Linked DNA regions of Danio rerio. The protein of the gene in region 2 purifies or fractionates together with the protein of the main gene of each other region. This does not show direct contact. Links are inferred from orthologs where the notes say so. Each region holds a gene or a part of one and is shown on either strand. Other genes may lie near its edges.

Evidence for each region. Proteins that work in one complex are often made in the same cells at the same time.
Region 1: the proteins of dbnla (region 2) and neurl4 purify together in Homo sapiens (co-immunoprecipitation; 4 studies listed by BioGRID and IntAct, counting the BioPlex papers as one, with this or other methods). This does not show direct contact. The link is inferred for Danio rerio from reciprocal best matches to the Homo sapiens genes DBNL and NEURL4.

Annotation. Positions count from the first base shown.
Region 1 is NC_133187.1:24,192,773-24,196,430, forward strand, and holds part of neurl4 (neuralized-like protein 4), read right to left. Parts: intron 3,314-3,658; coding exon 3,169-3,313; intron 3,063-3,168; coding exon 2,950-3,062; intron 1,791-2,949; coding exon 1,628-1,790; intron 1-1,627. UniProt on the Homo sapiens protein: Promotes CCP110 ubiquitination and proteasome-dependent degradation. By counteracting accumulation of CP110, maintains normal centriolar homeostasis and preventing formation of ectopic microtubular organizing centers.
Region 2 is NC_133185.1:47,603,843-47,608,018, reverse strand, and holds the start of dbnla (drebrin-like a), read right to left. Parts: upstream 2,823-4,176; 5' UTR 2,763-2,822; coding exon 2,686-2,762; intron 1,881-2,685; coding exon 1,825-1,880; intron 1,692-1,824; coding exon 1,579-1,691; intron 414-1,578; coding exon 339-413; intron 244-338; coding exon 97-243; intron 1-96. UniProt on the Homo sapiens protein: Adapter protein that binds F-actin and DNM1, and thereby plays a role in receptor-mediated endocytosis.

The DNA of each region.
Region 1 (3,658 bases), on a different chromosome or scaffold from region 2:
ATTTTCATTTTTTGGAAATAGGCTTATTTACCCTGAAAACATCCACCAGAGTTGAACAGCTAAGCATTACCATTTTTGAATCCATTCAGCCGATCTCTGGGTCTCTTACTAACACTTTTAGCTTAGCATAGCATAAATCATTGAATCAGATTAGACCGTTGGCATCTAGCTAAAAAAAAAAGGCTTTGATAATTTTCCTATTTAACAGTGGAATTCTGTAACTACTAGAATTACCATAGTGGTCATTCTGACCGTTCTCATATAAGACGTCATATTGTCTTGTAATATTTATATTCAAAGCTTCTATTGAGATATTAAAACTAAGCTTTTTATAGGGCTTATTTCTCAGTTCTATGCCTTTTAGGTTTACTCTGAATCCTAAGAGTTCTGTTTAATCCTGAAGATTAGTCTAAGATTTGTGATTGCACTTTTCCAAAATGTACCTCAATTTCAATACATGAACAAAATGTCAAGTTTTTCCACAGAATTTATTTTACACCTGTTCATCTGCATAACATGTTCCCAGCTTGTTCTTGTTGAAGTGCAATAACGTGTAAGGGCACATTTTTCATGTATTTTGGTCCCGTGTTCACATCAAACCATTTTGGAGGGGGGTTCATTCTGCAATCCAGGAGATAATTGGAAAACGTTTTCTTTCTCCCCCTCACTTTTTTTTGTTGAATGACATTCCTGAAAACCTTTTTGACTCAGAGATCAAACCTGTTTACAACTCTTACATTTTTGGCTAAGAAATGTATATTACTAAAATAGTCTACTTCTCAAATTCCAACTATTTCCATGTGGATTTCTCAGTTGTCAGTCTTTCTTCCTTTGGAAAAATTAACCTATGATCTCAACCACAAACAGAACAAATTCTGGACGCTTTGGGGACCTCTTCAATTTTTTCTACATAAACTCTGAATTTTTTATTTTCAATTTTTATTTTTTTTATTTGAGTTCTGGCTTCTTTTGTTTTAATAATTTTATTATAATTATTATTATTATAATTTTTTTGTTTAAACAGACATTTGTACATTTTTATTCAATCTGGCATAATAATCAAGGAACTCTGCTGCTGTACCAGGGCTACAGAAGGTGCAATGTTGTTACGCATCATCTGAAAATAGTTTACTATTTTAGTGTAATGCTAAAAAAAGCAACTACTGTAGGTAACTAAATAACAGTCACAGCACAGTGTAATATTATAGCATATCATGTTTTTTTCGCTAAAATTTCAGCTTTCTTCAAAATATTTTCTTTTGTGTTCAAAAAAAGAAAGAAAATCTTGAGAGAACCACTTTTGGGTGAGTAAATTTTCATTTTTGGGCAAAATATGCCCCTTAAGTAATTGAATGCATAAATTGTTTGATCAGGATGTTCACTAACAGTACACCGCTGCTTATTTTTACCCCTAAACAAACAACAAAAAAGATCTGAAAACACAGAGCAACAGACAACATAATAGAATCTCCGAATTTGATTTGATAAACACATTATGCTACACAACAATTTCATTTCTTTTGAACCAACTGTCGTAAATCTTTTATTCATTATAGCATCCAAAAGCTGCTATAATTTTAATGTCCTGTTTAAATGTCCTCAGGAAGTCTGCAAACTGTGGACTTACTGCACTTTCGGAGCGAAGACCTCGAGGCCGGAATATCGCATGGTTGGTGAGAGCTGCACTCTGGGAATGTCTCTCTCTGGAGCGCTGTTCTCCTCCGGCTCTCCGTAGCTGCCATGACCCTCCGTCTTCACCGACGATGACGAGAAAATAGAGGATGATTCTGCTGATGAGAAATAGAGAAGCTGATTTTAATTCACACATTCATGCATTTCAGAAGCAGATATTTAGCCTTTTCAATGTTAGAGATGAACTGGATAAAAAAAATAATAAGCCTACAATTGAAAAGGAGTTGAATTATTAGTCACGTTTATTTTTTCCCCAATTTCTGTTTAACGGAGAGATTTTTTTCAACACATTTCTAAACATAATAGTTTTAATAACTCATTTCTAATAACTGATTTATTTGATCTTTTCCATGATGACAGTAAATAATATCTGACTACATATTTTTCAAGACACTTCTATGCAGCTTAAAGTGACATTTAAAGGCTTAACTAGGTTAATTAGACTATCGAAAAAATAATTAGCTTAAGGGGGCTAATAATTTTGTCTAAAATGGTGTTTAAAAAATTAAAAACGGCTTTTATTCTAGTAGAAATAAAACAAAAAAGACTTTCTCCGTAGAAAAAATATTATCAGACATACTGTGAAAATTTCCTTGCTCTGTTAAACATAATTTAGGAAATATTTTTTTAAAAATTAAGATTTCTAAGGGGCACTAATAATTCTGAATTCAACTGAATATTATGTATATATTATATATATTTCACTTATTTATGAAAAATATTATTAAATAACACAATAACATCTTAATTATAAGAATCTACACAAAATCTCTTACAATCACACCACCCAATCTTGATTTATTTGATCAAAAATACAGTATGAACAGTAGTATTGTGAAATATTAAAATAAATATATTATATAAATATATTTAATATATAAATATATATACCAAATGTATATTATAACTATACATTTGGTTTGAAAAATAATGTTATACATTACATTATATAAAAATAACTGTTTTTCATTTTAACATCTATTAATATGTAATTTATTGCTGTAAAAGGACTGACAGCATAATTACTCCATTCTTCAATGTTTAATGTAATTGTTTAATATATTATTGTTTTACATTATCAGTAGTGTTGAAAACAGATTAATATTTGCGTGACAATTACGTTTCATACAAACAATATAAATTATATTACTATCACTTATAATTAGTCATTGATGAACAGAAGTGTTTAATGGTTTCAAACAATACCCAATAATTGTTAATGAATAAATTCAGAATTATTTTCCAGTAACTGCTAACCTGATAACAGTTGGTTGTGGTCCAGGGTGCGTCTAAGAGAACCGACACTTGTGCCGTGATACGCAATGTGCCACTTCTTGAAGGCATTGGAGACTTCACAGTGGGTCTTGATCCTGATTAAATAAAGACAAGACCACTTGATAAGGCATTAAATACCACTAATAAATCATCTTCACATTCTAACAGCTTAAATACAGAAGCAACTTAAAAGTAACTGACTGGAGTGCAAAGCGGCACCAGCCGAACGGTAGAGCATAGTCTCTGGGGGGCTCTCCTCGCTTGTAATAGGCCTCATCACCCCTTAATTTATGACAGGACTCACAGTAACACAGGTTATACTTGGCATCCTCATTAAAGTAACCATCTGGAAGAAAAAAAAAGAGCAAGGGATTCAGTATGTAACAGGTTAGCATTAACCATCACATTCAATCTGTGCACATACAGCTGAGACCAAAAGTTTACATACACTGTATAAAAAGGCACATAACCATAAAAAAGTCAGATGTTAATGTGATTAAACTTTTTCTCTTTTAGGAAAGTTAGGTGTATCAAATTTGTTTTTGTTATGCTTAATAGCAGAATAGTGAGAGAGAAGCCAGATTACAATTTGCTAAATTACACTGGGAAAAAGAATAATGTTTGGAGATGTCCTGTGGTCCGATGGAACTAAGCTTAAACTGTTTGGCCATAATGACCAGTGTTACATTTG
Region 2 (4,176 bases):
CACCTATTACCTTTTAATTTTTTTCACAATTTCCATAGTAGGACTAGACTTCCATAATCTTTAATATGAGTTATGATTATGATTGAAATCCCTCACCACACGTCCAGGAGGCTCAGAATGATTGTTCTGGCTTGATTCTCTGTGGATGTTGTAGTTTACGCCGGAGCCTTTGGCCACTTTCTCCATGATGGCCGCAGGTTCCACGTCATCATCTGATCGAGCGTTAATGGTCACGTGTGCACCCTTTAATTCAACACATAACAGATTAAAGTTATGATGGTGTTTATTTGCATGACATAATGCGACAAATAAGAGAATGACTTGTATTTTAAACTCACTCTCAGAAAATTGGCCATTGAGTGAACATGTCTAGCGCAAACACCCTTTCTGAGGTCCTTGACTCCCTCGCCGGTCTAAAACCAAAAGAGGATTCATATCAATGAAGCTGTGAATACATTTTAAAGCTTTCGGTGTTGCTGCATTTTTTTAAAGTAAAAAGTATTCGCCCTCCTGTGAATTTTGTTTTCAAGTATTTCCCAAATGATGTTTAACAGAGCAAGACATTTTTCACAGTATTTCCTATAATATTTTATCTTCTGGAGAAAGTCTTCTTTGTTGTCAGTGTTGCCAGATCGGGTGATTTTGAATTTGATTGTGTGCATAGGCGGATTGACAAAATTTGTGCAGTTTTGAAACGTACATTTTACATGCAACATATAACCTCAACATGTTAACAAAACATAACTGTGTGGTCCTACTCCGTTTAGTTAGTAGTGACCAGTGCTGGCGAGGCAGTGGCGCAGTAGGTAGTGCTGTCGCCTCACAGCAAGAAGTTCGTTGGTTCGAACCTCAGCTCAGTTGGCGTTTCTGTGTGGAGTTTGCATGTTCTCCCTGCCTTCGCGTGGGTTTCCTCCGGGTGCTCCGGTTTCCCCCACAGACCAAAGACATGTGGTACAGGCGAATTGGGTAGGCTAAATTGTCCGTAGTGTATGAGTGTTTGTGTGTGGATGTTTTCCCAGAGATGGGTTGCGGCTGGAAGGGCATCCGCTGCGTAAAAACTTGCTGGATAAGTTGGCGGTTCATTCCGCTGTGGCGACCCCGGATTAATAAAGGGACTAAGCCGACAAGAAACTGAATGAATGAATGACCAGTGCATATTGCAATCCGCGTGGGCCCATCCGCATTTTAATAAATAATATGAATAATTCTCTGGATAATTACTGTTTTTACATTACTGTAAGGGTTGGGGTTGAGGTAGACATTAATAAAATACAATTGACTGGGTAATTTAATAAATATTATGAATAATTCTTGTTAATGTCTGACATTATGACTTAATGTCTGACATTTAGACATTAATGTCTGACATTTAGACTTTACAGACCTGAAACTTGCCTACAGCACTTATTCATTGTTGCTCTTAGTTGTGTAAATTGCTTCCTTGTCCTCATTTGTAAGTCGCTTTGGATAAAAGCGTCTGCTAAATGACTAAATGTAAATGTAATATTTGAGTGAACTATTCATTCATGAAGCATTTTTTATTTGTACATCCAGCTCTGAATATTTTTCTGTTCATACCCAGTTGATGAGCACAAATTTGGGCACTCCAGAGCTGGGGTCCAGCACTCTACAGAAGGCATACATGACTTTACCACTGTTCAGTTCGTCCACCATTTCTTCAAGCCCACCATCTAAAAAAAATGAGAGAAACACAAACCAGCATATGAAACTGTGGACTGCTGACTCATCAATAAGACAAAAAAAAAAAAAAAAGCATGACGTCAGTCTATTGGCACTCTCATCTCATCTGAAGAAAACACTCACCTCCCTTCCCTGCAACCCGAATGTCATTACTGTTTCCTTCATAGGTGAACAACACCCTGTTTAAAAAAAAAATTACATTTCATGCAAGATTATTAACAGAATAGGCTATTATAAATGTAAAATACTCGCCAAGAAGTAACCAGCCATTCTGTTTTTTTTTTGCACAGGTTATATGTAATAGCTCATAAAACAAATTTGAATATTGTTTTGAAAATAAATGAAAAAATACTAAAGTAAACACTAGAGTATTTTGAATTCTATTGTTGCAGTAGTACATCAACTATATTAGTACTAATATAAACAACCCAACTTTACTGCAACTACATTGTTATTATACTACATTGTTATTATACTACACCACAGTTTACTGTAGTAAAAACTAAAGTGCACTGCTGTATTTATTATAGTTCACTATAGTTAATAATACTACATTATGCTTTATCATTCACTAACAAAAGTGTTGTAAACACTATACACTCAAAAAAATTACGTTTGCTATTTGTTTAAACGACTTATTTAAAATGAGCTGAAACAACACAATTTTTGAGTTTTTTTTTAATTGGGACAACTTAATTTTTTCATTAAATCTACTTAAATTTGTAAAAACTAATAAGTTAACTCTTTCATGTTGTCCCAACGCAAATCGAGTGTACAGTGTATACAATAATACGCTTTGCTATATGCTTCAAAAACACTATTTACTCTAATTACTATAGTATTTTTAATGTTGGATGCCAGATTCTCTTGAAATGGCAAAGTTAATTACGTAAAGTAAATATAATGATTACTTATTCTTTAAAAAAAAACATGTCATTCGTCGATTTATTTTCGAGGTGTTGATGTGTGATGGAGTTTTCTTACCAGTCTTTTTTCCCGCTCACCACCTCATCATATGCTTCTGTAAGCGCGGGTCCGTTTTTACTCAGGTTTACCGCCATTGTGGATCATGAAATGAATGAAGTTGTGGATATTTTTAATGGAGATATAATCATAACCAGTCTTCCTCTTTCGTTTGAGCGTCCTTTGTCGTGTTAAAAACGCACCTGTCTCTTGAAATCTGGTTCGGCGAGTTTTTGGGAATTGAAAGGAGGAAGAGAAAGAGCTTCCCAGCAAGCCATAACTATTTAAATGATTTAAACAGGGACAAATATTGAATTTTGTGTGTGGTAGAAATGCATTACAGCGAGAACACTGTTAAAATTGTTAAAATGGTCAACGTGTTAGCATTGGGAATCATTTTACAGAATCGACTCTTTTGAAGAGAACCGATCAAATGATTCACGGATATTTTTGTTTTGTTTACGCGTTATTTATGTTTACTTTTTCATTGGATATGATATGTAGCGTCAAATAATTCAATTTAAGAATTAGTGTTAATTATATTAATGTTAGCATTGTCCATCATGTTAACAATCGGTTGGATTGAATCAGTTCAAACGAACTATTTGTTCATGAGTCGCACCTTACTTAGCATATATCTATTGATCAATCTAAGGGCGGTTCACGAGGTCACACGTGGAACTAGTTGGACTTGTACAATCACATTACTGTAATTACTTAAAGAATAGACTGAACAAAGCTATAATGCAAATCCTTTTCTTCAGAGTTCATAGATTGAAGAGCAAGAGAAATTGCGATCTGAAATACCACCGGTAAAGGTGTCAGTGAAGTATGTTATGCTATGTTGTGGTGTATTATTGCTTTTAAATAATGCTCCACACTCTATCCTAAAAGTTTTATATGTGTATGTGAAATTCAAAAACAATTACAGCTTTTCCAAACAATTCACACACAGATTGCCGCTGAAAATACTTTTGCAGATTGCACTGTTACCATACTTATTGTGCCATTTTTGTTTGTGACATGCATTTACAAATGCAAATTATGATACTTATTTAGACTTTTTGTTTGCATGCATCTTTTCCAATTGGCTCTAAAATAAAACACGCAGTTATTTGTTTGACCGCACGATGGCGCACTTTTCACGATTTTGACTCCTTTGTATTTCTATTGACTTAATTTGTATTATGCCCGAAAACTGGAGCAACATGTCAACTTGTAGAGAAAAGGCTTTTATGAAAAATGAAAAATCTTCTGCCATCACACAGTGAAAGGAATTCTGAGGGAAGTCTGCATGTGTTTTGCCCATGTGGCCCCCCAAATCTATTATTTCACACTACATTTGAAACAAATTAACTCAGCGCTTCAGTCTCCTCAAAGGTTTTCAAATCAGTGTATAACTCCAAATTTCAACCACATTAAAAATCTGCCAGAGAAAATCATGTGCGTGCAATTAAATGCACAATCTTGTGCGACCACATCGTGCGGATTGAGCCAAGATCATCTTTGAAT